Macaca fascicularis: one gene and its partners. The protein of the gene in region 1 interacts with the protein of each later gene in a biochemical or structural test. Links are inferred from orthologs where the notes say so. Each region holds a gene or a part of one and is shown on either strand. Other genes may lie near its edges.

Region 1 (4,201 bases):
CTCAAGCCATCTACCCGGCTCAGCCTCCTAAAGTGCTGGGATTATAGGCGTGAGCCACCCCACCCAGCCCTAATACATGAATTCCGAAAAAGGTATCTGTTATCTCTGAAAGTGTTCCACCTCCCAAAAGCTGCGCTGGAATGACGACAAGGAGCTCCACTTACTGTTGCCTCATATGGATAGGATTCCTCAGAGTCCAGGCCTCCATTGTCGGCAACATACTGGAAGGCATAATCCATTAGGCCCCCATTGCAGCCCTCATTGCCTTGAGGCCCAGAGCAGTCTACCAGATTCTGCTCACTCAGTGAGACAAGCTTCCCAGTTTTCCGGAACATCTGTCCTTCAAGAGCACCAGTAGCGCTAAAAGCCCAACAAGAACCACACTGACCCTGAAGAGGGAATAAAAAAAGCTGTCATTCACAAAAAAATAGTAAGACTTTGACAACAGCTCACACATCTGAATACTGTTAAAAAGTGAACCGCACATCGCTTTAAAGTCTACCAAAACAAAGATGTCAATCACTTCTTGGCTTTCCTGGGAAGATGGGAGGTCTGGCCCTGACACTGTCTCACCTGATTCTTCACAGGAGTCACGTAGCCTTTCTCTCTCCAATCCACAGATCTGGGGGCCTCATAAAACAGAGGTTCCTGGAACACTTTCCCCTTCCTGGGTTTACGGTTTTGAAAGCCATTCATCACCTGCCTGAATTCTTCACTGGTCTTCAAGGAAAAGGAAATAAAATGTTGAAAAGCAAGAGATTACTTTAGTAAAGAACTGAGGGGAGGAAGCACAGAGCTCGGCGGTCGACAGCACACTCACCATGTCTCCAAAGGTGTTCATGGCCATTGTGAAGCTGTGTTTCCCTTGGCTGTATTCCTGATTGTGCAGTTCAATCATCTTCATGTTCTTCTCCCACACTGCTCTCCTCCATCCTTCTTCATTCTAGAGGCAAACATGTAACTGATGCTCTTTATTTCTACCTAAAACCCAACTCATGCTCACCAAGTGATTCTGTAGACAGAGACGGAAGAGAAACCATGGCCAGAGAAGGCTTGACACCTCTGGGGATGCTGTTCCCCAAATTGAGACAGAAAAGGGATGAATGCCCATACTGTGCTCATAATCGGTGCCATTAGGTTATTATATTAGGCTACTGGTGAAAGCTGGCCTCTAGAAGCTACTCTCTGTCTAAAACTTCTCAACAGCCAAGACTATTTTTTCTGGGGAAGTTTCAGATACCACTAACCATGCCGTATAATCTGTTGTGCATCGCCTTCCACTTGGTCCACTGTGCCTCTAAACTGTGATTAAATGTTAAAGTAGCTGAGGCAATTCCCAGGCAAAAGGCAGCGAGGATGAATGTAGGATTCATGTTTCAAAACCTAGAAAAGAAATGAGGATCTGATTAGACTGATCCTAAAAAGCAATCTTACTGCCCCTTGAAAAATTAGGGCCACCATCGTAGAATAAAAATATTTAAATTATTCTTCCAAGCATTTACCCAAGGACTGTGGAAGAGGCCAAGGATGTGCCTGGAGAAAAACAGGGCACATGGAGGTGCTGGATGGACCCACCAAAATGAAAAGCAGCCTGGCTAGAGCTATAAGAGTTTAAACAGTTTATGGGATGATAATTTAGGTTATGAGAAAGGTATGAAAGCACCTTGTGGGTGAGAAGCTTAAGGCAACAACTAGGAAACCAGGAAACAGTTGATCCAGGTTTTGTACCAATGGCAAAAATCCCAGGTTTTGTGCCCAGGCAAAACCTCAATAATGATAAGGTGGGATTCCCAAGTAGTGACAAAGAGATCCCCAAGAATTAGGAGGCCTTCACACATCTTCTTGACTAACAAACAGCTGAAGCTGAGATATGTTTTCCAACCTCTCCGTTTTTGTTTTTTTGAGATGGAGTCTTGCTCTGCCGCCCAGGCTGGAGTGCAATGGTGCGATCTGAGCTCACGGCAACCTCCGCCTCCCGGGTTCAAGCCATTCTTCCTCAGCCTCTTGACTAGCTGGGACTACAGACGTGTGCCACCTCGCCTGTCTAATTTTGTATTTTTAGTAGAGACGGGGTTTCACCATGTTGGCCAGGCTGGTCTCGAACTCCTGACCTCAGGTGATCCGCCCACCTCAGCCTCCCAAAGTGCTGGGATTACAGGCGTGAGCCAGCGTGCCTGCCCCAACCTCTCCTTAAATGAAACCCTTCTGAAATGCTTTCCCAGGAAAAACTGGGAAGGACAGCACACACTGCTCACTCCTTCACTCACCTGGGCCTGTGCTGCCGACACCCCAAATTGCTCCCCTAAATCAGGGACGGGGTCATATGGCCGCACGCGGGAAGCCAGCGCCCCGCAGCCAGCTGCCAGGGCTCCAGGCGTGGCAAGGCCGGGGACGTGACGCCTGCGCCACACACAGGCTGCAGCGGTCAGAGGATGTTTGCGGTGACGCCAGCAGGAGCACCGCTGTCGGGCGTGCGGGAACTGAGCTTCCCTGTCTGACCGGGCCAGGCCATGAGTCGGCGCGGCGCGGCCTGGCTGCGGTACCTGTGTCCACCCGGCTCGGAGGCTAGCCTGCCCGCTCAACCAGGGACCCCGCCTGCGTGGTCTCCGCGCTTCCGCGGGGTCCTTAATTGCCCTCTCCCGCTTCCCCACCTTAAGGCCGGCAGAGCTCAGGGCAGACGCTCTCGTTGCCAGGGCTGGTGCACAACTCCTCGACCGCGTCCTCTCTTCCAGTCCCTGTCCGGCCCCAGCTGGGCCTGGCCGGCAGCGCTTTCCTGCTGCGGTCGTAGCTGCGCAGGCGCACTCCACGGATGCCGCTCTTGAGGTTGCGGAGGTCGCGGTTCTGGCCCAGCTTCGCCCGACTCTGCCTCTAAAACCTCGGGTCTGGGCTCCGCCGGCACCGCCCCACCGCCTGGCTGCGCTACGATTGGCTGTGCCGGCAGCTGGGCGGGGCCTCTGGGTACTCTGACCCCTGGCGCGGTTCGTGGCTTGTTTACTGACTGTCCCAGAGCGGGGCGCGCCTGCCTCAGTGGACTTGGGGGAAGCGGAGCTGGTACCCCGAGGCTGCGCAGAGTAGGGTCGGGCGTCTCCCTGGAGCGCTCGAATCAACTAAGTACCCGACTTACTGCACTGGGCAGGTGGCTCCTGAAAAGACGTTTACAGCAAGCGCAGTATGGACTTTCAGCCTAACCTAGCTTTTCCTTAGTCCTGGAATCTTTGGTCCGCATAGCCGAGAGCCAGTGTACTCTAGTCCAGTGGCTCCTGTTTAGTCCACAGCAAAGGTGGGGCCGGGTGGAAGAACGCAGAGCCCGCGGGCAGAAGCCTTATCTCCCACTTAAGGGTGGGTGCAGCTGGGCTTTAGAAGAATCTGGTAGGGAAAGGCGTCCCCAAAACACGAGATGCTATCGTCAAGACCAGACCCTAGGAGGGAGAAGACTGGCTGCGTCTCCAGAGAGCGCGGGCGTTTTGTCAAGCATCCTCTCCAGACTCCTCCATTCAGAGATTCTTCTTTCTCCCACGTCTTTCCCAAAACCAACAGAAAGGAGTTATTTACAGAAACATTTGGTTGACAGGAGAAAAGCAGTTGATAACATTAGAAGCTGCTTTTATTCGCCCACTCTCTAGGTTATGGATTATATCTTCCTTGGTAACCAAGTCGTTCTCTTGAGATTTAAGAAATTTAATGACATTTAATGTCAGGATTTAAGATACAGAGAATGCAGAAATGTTGTAGATAGAGGAAAAATATGTATCTTAATCTAATGTATATATTAATTTATATAATTAAGCATTTAACGAACAAAACCCACAAACATTCTAAACTTTTGTCATTTTATTTTTTTATTACATAAAAACATTCGTCGTAGAAAATACCTTTCGGGGAAAAAATAATTACCTCTGCCTTTTCCCCCATAACCTTTTCGTATGCATATTTTGACTTTGTGAAAAATGAAGTCATTGTGTATTTCTGTTTGTCAGTTGAGTTCTACTGAAGATTAAACTGATAACTCTTTTAGAAGCACAATCACCGATAATTTTTTAAGTGGTAAAATATACCTAACGTAACAAGTACCATTTTAACCAATTTTGAATTCAGAGGCATTGAGTACGTTCACGTTGTGTAACCATTACTACTGTTTATCCCCAGAGCTTGTTTATCTTCCTCAACTGAAACTCTGTATCCATTGAATAATAGTTCCCCA
Region 2 (4,235 bases), on another chromosome or scaffold:
TAGGCAATGCAAAAGGGTAAACAGGTCACTGAAGGTCAGTGCCGGTTTACTGATGGTATCTTATTACTCACTCTACTACCCAACCTCCTCTTTTTTACAAGATTATCCCTAAATGCACACTTCACTGATGTATTGTCAGGGTCTGGAACACTCCAGTGGGGGAGAGTTGTGGAAACGGAGCTAAAGCACTCTGAGTAAATGCTCCCCACTTGGGTCGGCCAGGCTCATCTGCCTTGCTTTCTTCCATTAGGCCACTCAGGGACACAGACACCAGGCTGCAGACGAAAGGTGGGTAGGTCAGGTGAAATTTACCTGTAAAAATTGAAACGTCTTTTCTCCGAAGAGCTTATTGGCGATCTTCAGCTCATATGCATCAGTGGATTTGTTTAATTCAGTCAGAAGCTTTTGAAACTGGTGATGAACATTTCCTGACCTATCAACCTTCAAATGTCAAAAAAGCAGATCACTGAATTACTGCATCGGTGTAAATTCTAAACCCGTGCTAAGTCTGTTAGATCAGTTCCTAAAGGCTGGTATCCTCAATGATGACCTTTATGCTTATTCCCTGATACTTGGTGTATTTCACCTCAAATACTCTTCAAAATCTACCTTACGTTTGACTTCTTCCAGAAAATTCTTCCTGCACTAATGTACTCCAATCTTCTCTCTTCTGAACTAAAGATGCAGCACTGTCTACCATTGGGTTTTCCCCTTGTTGGCTTAAAGGGTTAGGTTTGCTTCCCAGTTAAACTGTCAGTTCCTTAAGGACAAGGACCACATTACACTTCTAACAGACATCAAGAATATGAGTATATTTAAGTTTGGATATTTTAAATAGATTATGCCAGGGAGCCCTGTTATACCTGTTGGTAGTATCATCTTGTAAGACACACTGACTGATCTATGGCTCTTTCCTCACGATGGTCATTCTCTGCATGTGAGAACAGTGTGTGCCAGGTACATGGGTAAGAGCTTTACATGGGTAACTCTGAGTCTTTAGTTCAATTCAGATGTAAACAAGAAAGCTCAGAGAATAGAAAAGAAACTCTATTTATAGAGACATAAATTAGAAGTGCCAAGTTTTGAACCTAAGCCTGTTAAATCTAGAACCTCCTACTTTCCAGCAAAGCATTTTTCTCTATTAAGGCTCTAAACCAATATATTCCATAGCAATCATTTTCCAAAATAGACTTGTGCTTATTCCTCTTAATCTCATTAATGACTCAATTAAAATTTAATTATTTTTGCAATATTACTGTGATTAGTATGATTATAGCTATTTTATAATAATAATATTTATTATGACTTTATGGGCAAGACACTGTTGGAAATGTTTGCATGTATTTGCATGTATTGAGTCAGATTTTTTATTACCCTTCGTTTTCTGGGATGAGGTCACTAGGATTCTGAGCAATTGTGTCCTGCCATGTTCATCATTTGTGAAGAGCAAAGTTGCAATTTGAACCCACCCTATCCTGATCCAGACCTATGCTCTGAAGTACAGGGCTGACTGTCTTTCAGTAATGCAGAAACGAGGAATAATAATTATGTGCCATGAAATGCCAATCCACTCTGTACGTCTCAATCTTTTCATCCAGGCTTTCCCCTAAGAATGGCCTTTACTTAGTTTCTGTGAAGTTCCAGGTTTAAACTATGACCTGCTCAGGGATCTAAAGCTGAACCAAAGTGCTCTGTGACTCACGTGATGTGTTGCAGCTTTTTCTGTGGTGTTCTCTGGGACTTGATCGAAGTGAAGAACCTGGAAGAGACATGAAGCGGGACAAGAAAACTTTACTCAAAAGATCTGTTTAAGTCAGTGGGCTCACAGTTAACGGAAATTCCTGCTCAGCCCCCTGTGCTACCCATCAGGCCACCACATCTATTACCATCTGCATGCGAGCCGCCGGAACCACAGAGAGAAGCTGCAACAGGACAGCGTAATGAAGCTGATACCTACCTTGTTAATTTGTTGTGCAGTGTTGTCTTTGGCCCCTAAGAGGACCATCCCTAATGCTGTTGTGATGCTGATAGGGGAATAGAAGGTGTTGTTCTTTTGTGATTTTCTGAACTGTTGGAACAGATCGAACATGAACTTGGTGTTGGCTTCACTGAGTGAATTCATGGTGAACTCGATGTGATCTGGACTCCTGGAAAAGCATCAGATTCCTGTCAGAATGACTTTAATAAATGCAGTGGTATTTTGTAGTATGATTTTCTTAAACAAATGACATATCTGGGTTGTGAGATTTTGACATTTAAAGTTTTTCTTTTCTCGTTTTTAACGTTTCAATCTTTCTACAATGTGCATATATTAAATATATTAATGTCCTAATTAAGAGGCTCACAAAATTACTGTTTTTAAAGCTATTATAAATCAGTAATAAACCCTCTTTATCTTTCCTTCATTGCTGGTTACACTGGGGCTAGGTAGGAAGGCTTTATAATGAATGCTAACAGGAGACCTTTGTGGATCACATCCAACCAGCTCTTAAGAGGAATCCCTGACGTTTCCTTCAAAGCTTTGTGGCTGCAAGGCACTCTCCCTCTGTGTTCCTCAGGGTGCCTTAGTTTACTTGGAACTAAGTAATTTACATAAAGGACAAATCAGATGAAACAGATATTTTAATTGTGCCCTGGCAGAATAAGTAAAACATAATCAGAGAGAATGCAGGAGATGCATGATATAGAACACAGTATCATTATTATTCTCAAAAATAATTCATGTTATTAAGCTGGAGTGGCTTGAAGCACTTACCTGTGTTCCTAGAGGAAGCAGACGTGGGCAGAGAGCCTGTGTGTGTCTGTGGAATGAAGGGTGAGATCCTGAATTTATGCCTCTCCTCTTGCTGCCTCTCTCTCTGTGGAGAAGACATTTCACAAGAAGGCTAACACTCCTTTTTAATCTACAGGGAAAAAATGCAAATGCAAATCAGCACCACTGGCTTATTTGAAATACCTGTAGGTGCCTTTCTTGCTGCCTCTCCCTCTGTGGAGAGGAGATTTCACAAGCAGGCTAACACTCACCTTGATGAGTGAGAACATTTACGACAAAGGATACGATTACTGTTCTACCATTGTACTTCCTTTTTAATCTATAGGGAAAAAATGAAAATGTAAATCAGCAATCACTGGCTCATTTGAAATAATGTCGGTGACTTTCTATTGCCAATGAGAATAAGGTTAGAATTCCAATTTCCTCTCATTAATTTCAGCTCCTTTCGTTTGTATACAACTCCAGATGTTTAAAAAAAAAAAAGAAAAGAAAAGAAAACAAACAAACAAAACAAACACAGAAAAAGGGCCATTCTTTTCTTGGATGTTGCATTGTCTTTAAGGCATGCTTTGAACACCAAACAACTAAAAAGCTTACATTTCCTGTTTTTCGGTTCTGAAAGTTTTTGTCATCCTATGCATTTCATTAGTTATTTTTCTGTATAACAAGGAATATAATTCTAATTTTAAGTCCAAAGAGATACCGAAGAAGTGTACTTCAGTATCTCATAGCATACTATGGAGAACAGGATTCTATTGCTTTCTCTTGAATGCTGTACCTTGGCAGTGATCCTGCCAGTCATCTCCCGTGCCCCTTTCAACCATCCCAGATGTTTTCTGTTGCATAGAGTCAGTGAGAAAGTTATCTACCTTGCTGAGTGATACGGTTTGGCTGTGTCCCCACCCAAATCTCAACTTGAATTGTATCTACCAGAATTCCCACGTGTTGTTGGAGGGACCCATGTGGAGGTAACTGAATCATGGGGACCGGTCTTTTTCTGTGCTATTCTCGTGATAGTTAATAAGTCTCAGGAGATCTGATGGGTTTATCAGGGGTTTTTTTCTTTTGCTTCTTCCTCATTTTCTCTTGCTGCCACCATGTAAGAATAACTTTTGCCTCCCACCATGATTCGGAGGCCTCTCCAATCACATGGAAGTGTAAGTCCAATTAAGCCTCTTTCTCTTGCCAGTCTTGGGTATGTCTTTATCAGCAGCATGAAAACAGACTAATACACTGAGTTAACAGGCTAACACTGAGAAGAACAATTGAAACAAATGGGCCATTTTGAATGGCAGTTTTTAAATTTTTCATTTAAAAATGAAGCAGAAAAATAAGTTGTTTGAACTGTCGGGATCACAACATTGCTCAGTGGTCCTACTATTTAGCACCTGGCTTCAGACTCATTCCAGTGTTTTCCCTGGAATATCTTGTAATCTGAAGAATGTCTGTGGCCAGAGAGAGG
Region 3 (3,648 bases), on another chromosome or scaffold:
ACCTGTAATCCCAGCTACTTGGGAGGCTGAGATGGGAGAATCGCTTGAACCCAGGAGGCAGAGGTTGCAGTGAGCCGAGATTGCACCATTGCACTCCAGCCTGGGTGACAGAATAAGACTCCATCTCAAAAAAAAAAAAAAAAAAAAATATATATATATATATATATATATATATATATTTTATATATATACACGCACACACATACACACACTTTGTAAAATGCTTGATTTAATTTTAAAATATGAGGGTAGAGATGGAATACTGGGTTATCAGCAGCCACAGGGAACAAGGAGGCTGATGAACTGATAGTCCATGATCCGGCCTGCCTATGGTGGGGGTGAGTGTGGTGTACTATCCTTTAGCCAATTGCATTAGGCTTAACTAGTTTTTATAAGATTTCCAAATGCCATCAATTTATATGGAATTTATACTCTAAAGCAGTAGCACTGATTTTGAGAAAGAAAAGGTAATTTCTACTTAATACAATAAATGAGAAATAATTGAAGAAATAATTTCTTTGGAAAAGAATGCTTCTTTATTGATGGTTTTATTTATCAGCAAGGATCATGACTCAGTAGCCAGTGGAAGGAATTAGAACACTTTGGGAACATGCTGCTAAAAACCCGTCAGCTCATCGTCCTTGTTTTTGTCAGCCTGGTATCCAGTAAGTACCAAGTCCTCATTTTGTCCGGGAAGACTTTTGAATACTTTCAAGTGCATATAATGATTATCACCTGCTCGTACCTGAAAAGTATTAAAAAAAAAAGAGAAAACAAAAGGAGATTTATTCAAATGGGTCTACATCAAGTGAGAGAGCTACAGATCTATAAAGACTTCTGTCCAAAAAGCTGCTGAGGAATAGCATTGCTAGACCTAGTCCACCCATTCTTAGACTCTTTGTATTCATAAATCCACCACCTTATTTTAGGAGAGAAAGAGTAGAGTAGGCTGGGCGCCGTGGCTCCCACCTGTAATCCTAGTACTTTGGGAGGCTGAGGCAGGTGGATCACGAGGTCAGGAGTTCGAGACCAGCCTGGCCAGCATGGTGAAACCCCGTCTCTACTAAAAATACAAAAAATTAGCCAGGCATGGTGGTGCATGCCTGTAATCCCAGCTACTCGGGAGACTGAGGCAGGAAAATCACTTGAACCCAGGAGGAGAAGGTTGCAGTGAGCCGAGATTGCGCTGCTGCACTCCAGCCTGAGTGATACAGCAAGATTCTGCCTAAAAAAAAAAAAAAAAAAAAAAAAAATTGTAGACTAATGGCATGGCAAGAGGCATAAGTCCTAGGTTTATTTTGTTATTTTTTTTTAGTATAATCTGGGCACAAAGGACAGCATTTCATTTTCAAAGATGCATGGAGCAAGAAAACCAGTGACAGCCTATATTTTTGGTGATGCTGTTTTCTGACTCCCAACTTGGGACACTTTATTTGCCATACAGTCTGAAAAGGGAAAAGAAAATCAGAATTGCCCTAGAAAATTTGGGATGCAGGGTTCATATACCTATATCAGAACCTACTTTATAAACGCCCACTGGTAAGATTGAGCAGAGCCCAGGGGGCAGACACCCTCCCTTCTAGAGTGAAGGGGTCGGGCACTGTGGCTCACGCCTATAATTCCAGCACTTTGGGAGGCCGAGGCGGGTGGATCACCTGAGGTCAGGAGTTTGAGACAAACCTGGCCAACATGGTGAAAACTAAAAATACAAAATTAGCTGGGCATGGTGGTGCACACCTGTAATCCCAGCTACCTGGGAGGCTGAAGCAGGAGAATCGCTTGAATCTGGGAGATGGAGGTCGCAGAGAGCCGAGATTGTGCCACTGCACTCCAGCCTGAGCGACAGAGTGAAACTCTGTCTCAAAAAAGAAAAAAAAAAAAGCTAAGGGGTTTTGCTAGGAAGTCATTGGTATGAAGGTTGAAGCAGAAGCAGTAGTTTGGACATGAATCTGAGACCTGGAAAATTATGGTAAGAATTTTTACTTTGGTTCTTGCTTGAGACAATAAATGCTTTGTCTTATAAAAATATTTATTGTGCTTCTGATGTCACTTCCTATCCTAATTTTAACAAATGCCATATATCAAATGTTTACTGTTAGCCAGACACTATGATGAACATTTTATATAAATGATTATATTAACTTATATTATAGGCCTGAAGAAAGGTGGAGCAATGAAATTTTACAGATGTGGAAGCAGAGTAAGAGAGATTAAGTGATTTTCCATAAATTTCTCAGCTAATAAGTGGCACAGCCAATATTCAAACCCAGATCTGTTAGGCTCTAGCATCTACATTCTTTTCACTCTACAGTGTAACCTCTTTGGAGGGTACTGATGGGGGAATGAGGCCTCGCTCTGTTGCCTGGGCTGCAGTGCAGTGGTGCGATCTCAGCTCACTGCAATGTCAAACTCCTTGGCTCAAGTGATCCTTCTACCTCATCTTCCCAAGTAGCTAGGACTACTGATGTGCATCACCATGCCTAGGTAATTAAAACATTTTCTTTGTAGAGACAAGGTCTCGCTATGTTGCCCAGGCTGATCTCAAACTCCTGGCTTCAAGCTATACTCCCGCCTTGGTCTCCCATAGTGTTGGGATTACAGACGTGAGCCACCACACCAGGCCAGTGTAACCTTTTAAAAGCTCTTATTTTGTGCTTTATATTAGAGGCAGCACAGCCAGTAGTTAAGCTCAGTCTATCTGGGCTCAAATCCTGACTCAGATCTTATAGTTGTATGACCTTTTTAGTCTCTTCACCACCCTGGAGCTCAATTTTTTCATTGGTAACCCAAGAGAAGTGATTGTACTTATCTCATAGATTTGTTGTGAGGATTAAATGAGATAATACAAGCCCTGTTCTTAGACTAGTGCATGGTGAATTGTAAGTGCTCAATAAATTTCCAGCTTATATATTCCTCACAACACCCTGCGAAGCAGATTATTACCCTCATTGTGCAGATAAGGGAATGAAGGCTCAGAGAGGAGGAGGAGCTTCAAGGGTTCAAACCCAGGACACTCTGACACCTAAGCCTGTGGTCCTTCCATTGTACCACCTGCCTCTTGATAGGTACCTGAAATACATAGAGAAGGTCTCGTCACTGGCAAGACCTTAAATCTAGAGTGGCTCAGAGCAAAGGGATCAACAGCCAGACTACCAGGAAGTAAAAGGGAACTAGGATCAGTGGCTGAGATCCAATAGGAAAAATTCGATAGCAGAAGGAAGAAAAGATGAGAGAGACAGAGAGAGAAAGAGACAGAGACAGAGAGAAGGAGAGAGAGAGAGAGAGACTGATTAAGAGAGGGCAAAAGGGTGGTCAAGAGAAGAAATTTTCAAGATAATTGTCTGATGAACTGTTGAAGAGACATGTGAGCTGGTAATATGCGGTAATATGTGAAATGTAATATGTGGTAACATGTGAAATGTATGCATTTGAATTAATCATAAATTATTAAAATAAATATTCTAATGTTGATGGAATGCTTCCTATCTTTGCACATAATCATTTTTAACGGGAAAACGTTCTTTTCCAGCCATGAAGAAATCAGATTGAAAATGGAGGAAATGGTGCCATTGTTTTCTGAGGATACAGCAGGGTCCTCTGTGACATGTGTCTCCCCGTGACCTGGTCAAAGCTCCCTGTGACATGTGA

What was found.
Region 2: the proteins of CTSL (region 1) and serpin B3 form a complex in vitro, tested with the Homo sapiens proteins (2 studies listed by BioGRID, with this or other methods). The link is inferred for Macaca fascicularis from reciprocal best matches to the Homo sapiens genes CTSL and SERPINB3.
Region 3: the proteins of CTSL (region 1) and CSTA form a complex in vitro, tested with the Homo sapiens proteins (2 studies listed by BioGRID). The link is inferred for Macaca fascicularis from reciprocal best matches to the Homo sapiens genes CTSL and CSTA.

What each region holds. Positions count from the first base shown.
Region 1 is NC_088389.1:118,152,359-118,156,559, reverse strand, and holds the start of CTSL (procathepsin L), read right to left. Parts: upstream 2,844-4,201; 5' UTR 2,652-2,843; intron 1,384-2,651; 5' UTR 1,374-1,383; coding exon 1,248-1,373; intron 944-1,247; coding exon 821-943; intron 721-820; coding exon 574-720; intron 390-573; coding exon 165-389; intron 1-164. UniProt on the Homo sapiens protein: Thiol protease important for the overall degradation of proteins in lysosomes. Plays a critical for normal cellular functions such as general protein turnover, antigen processing and bone remodeling.
Region 2 is NC_088392.1:17,181,481-17,185,715, forward strand, and holds the start of serpin B3, read right to left. Parts: upstream 2,872-4,235; 5' UTR 2,756-2,871; intron 2,148-2,755; 5' UTR 2,123-2,147; coding exon 1,958-2,122; intron 1,760-1,957; coding exon 1,703-1,759; intron 442-1,702; coding exon 313-441; intron 1-312. UniProt on the Homo sapiens protein: May act as a papain-like cysteine protease inhibitor to modulate the host immune response against tumor cells. Also functions as an inhibitor of UV-induced apoptosis via suppression of the activity of c-Jun NH(2)-terminal kinase (JNK1).
Region 3 is NC_088376.1:160,903,918-160,907,565, forward strand, and holds the end of CSTA (cystatin-A), read right to left. Parts: intron 746-3,648; coding exon 617-745; 3' UTR 514-616; downstream 1-513. UniProt on the Homo sapiens protein: This is an intracellular thiol proteinase inhibitor. Has an important role in desmosome-mediated cell-cell adhesion in the lower levels of the epidermis.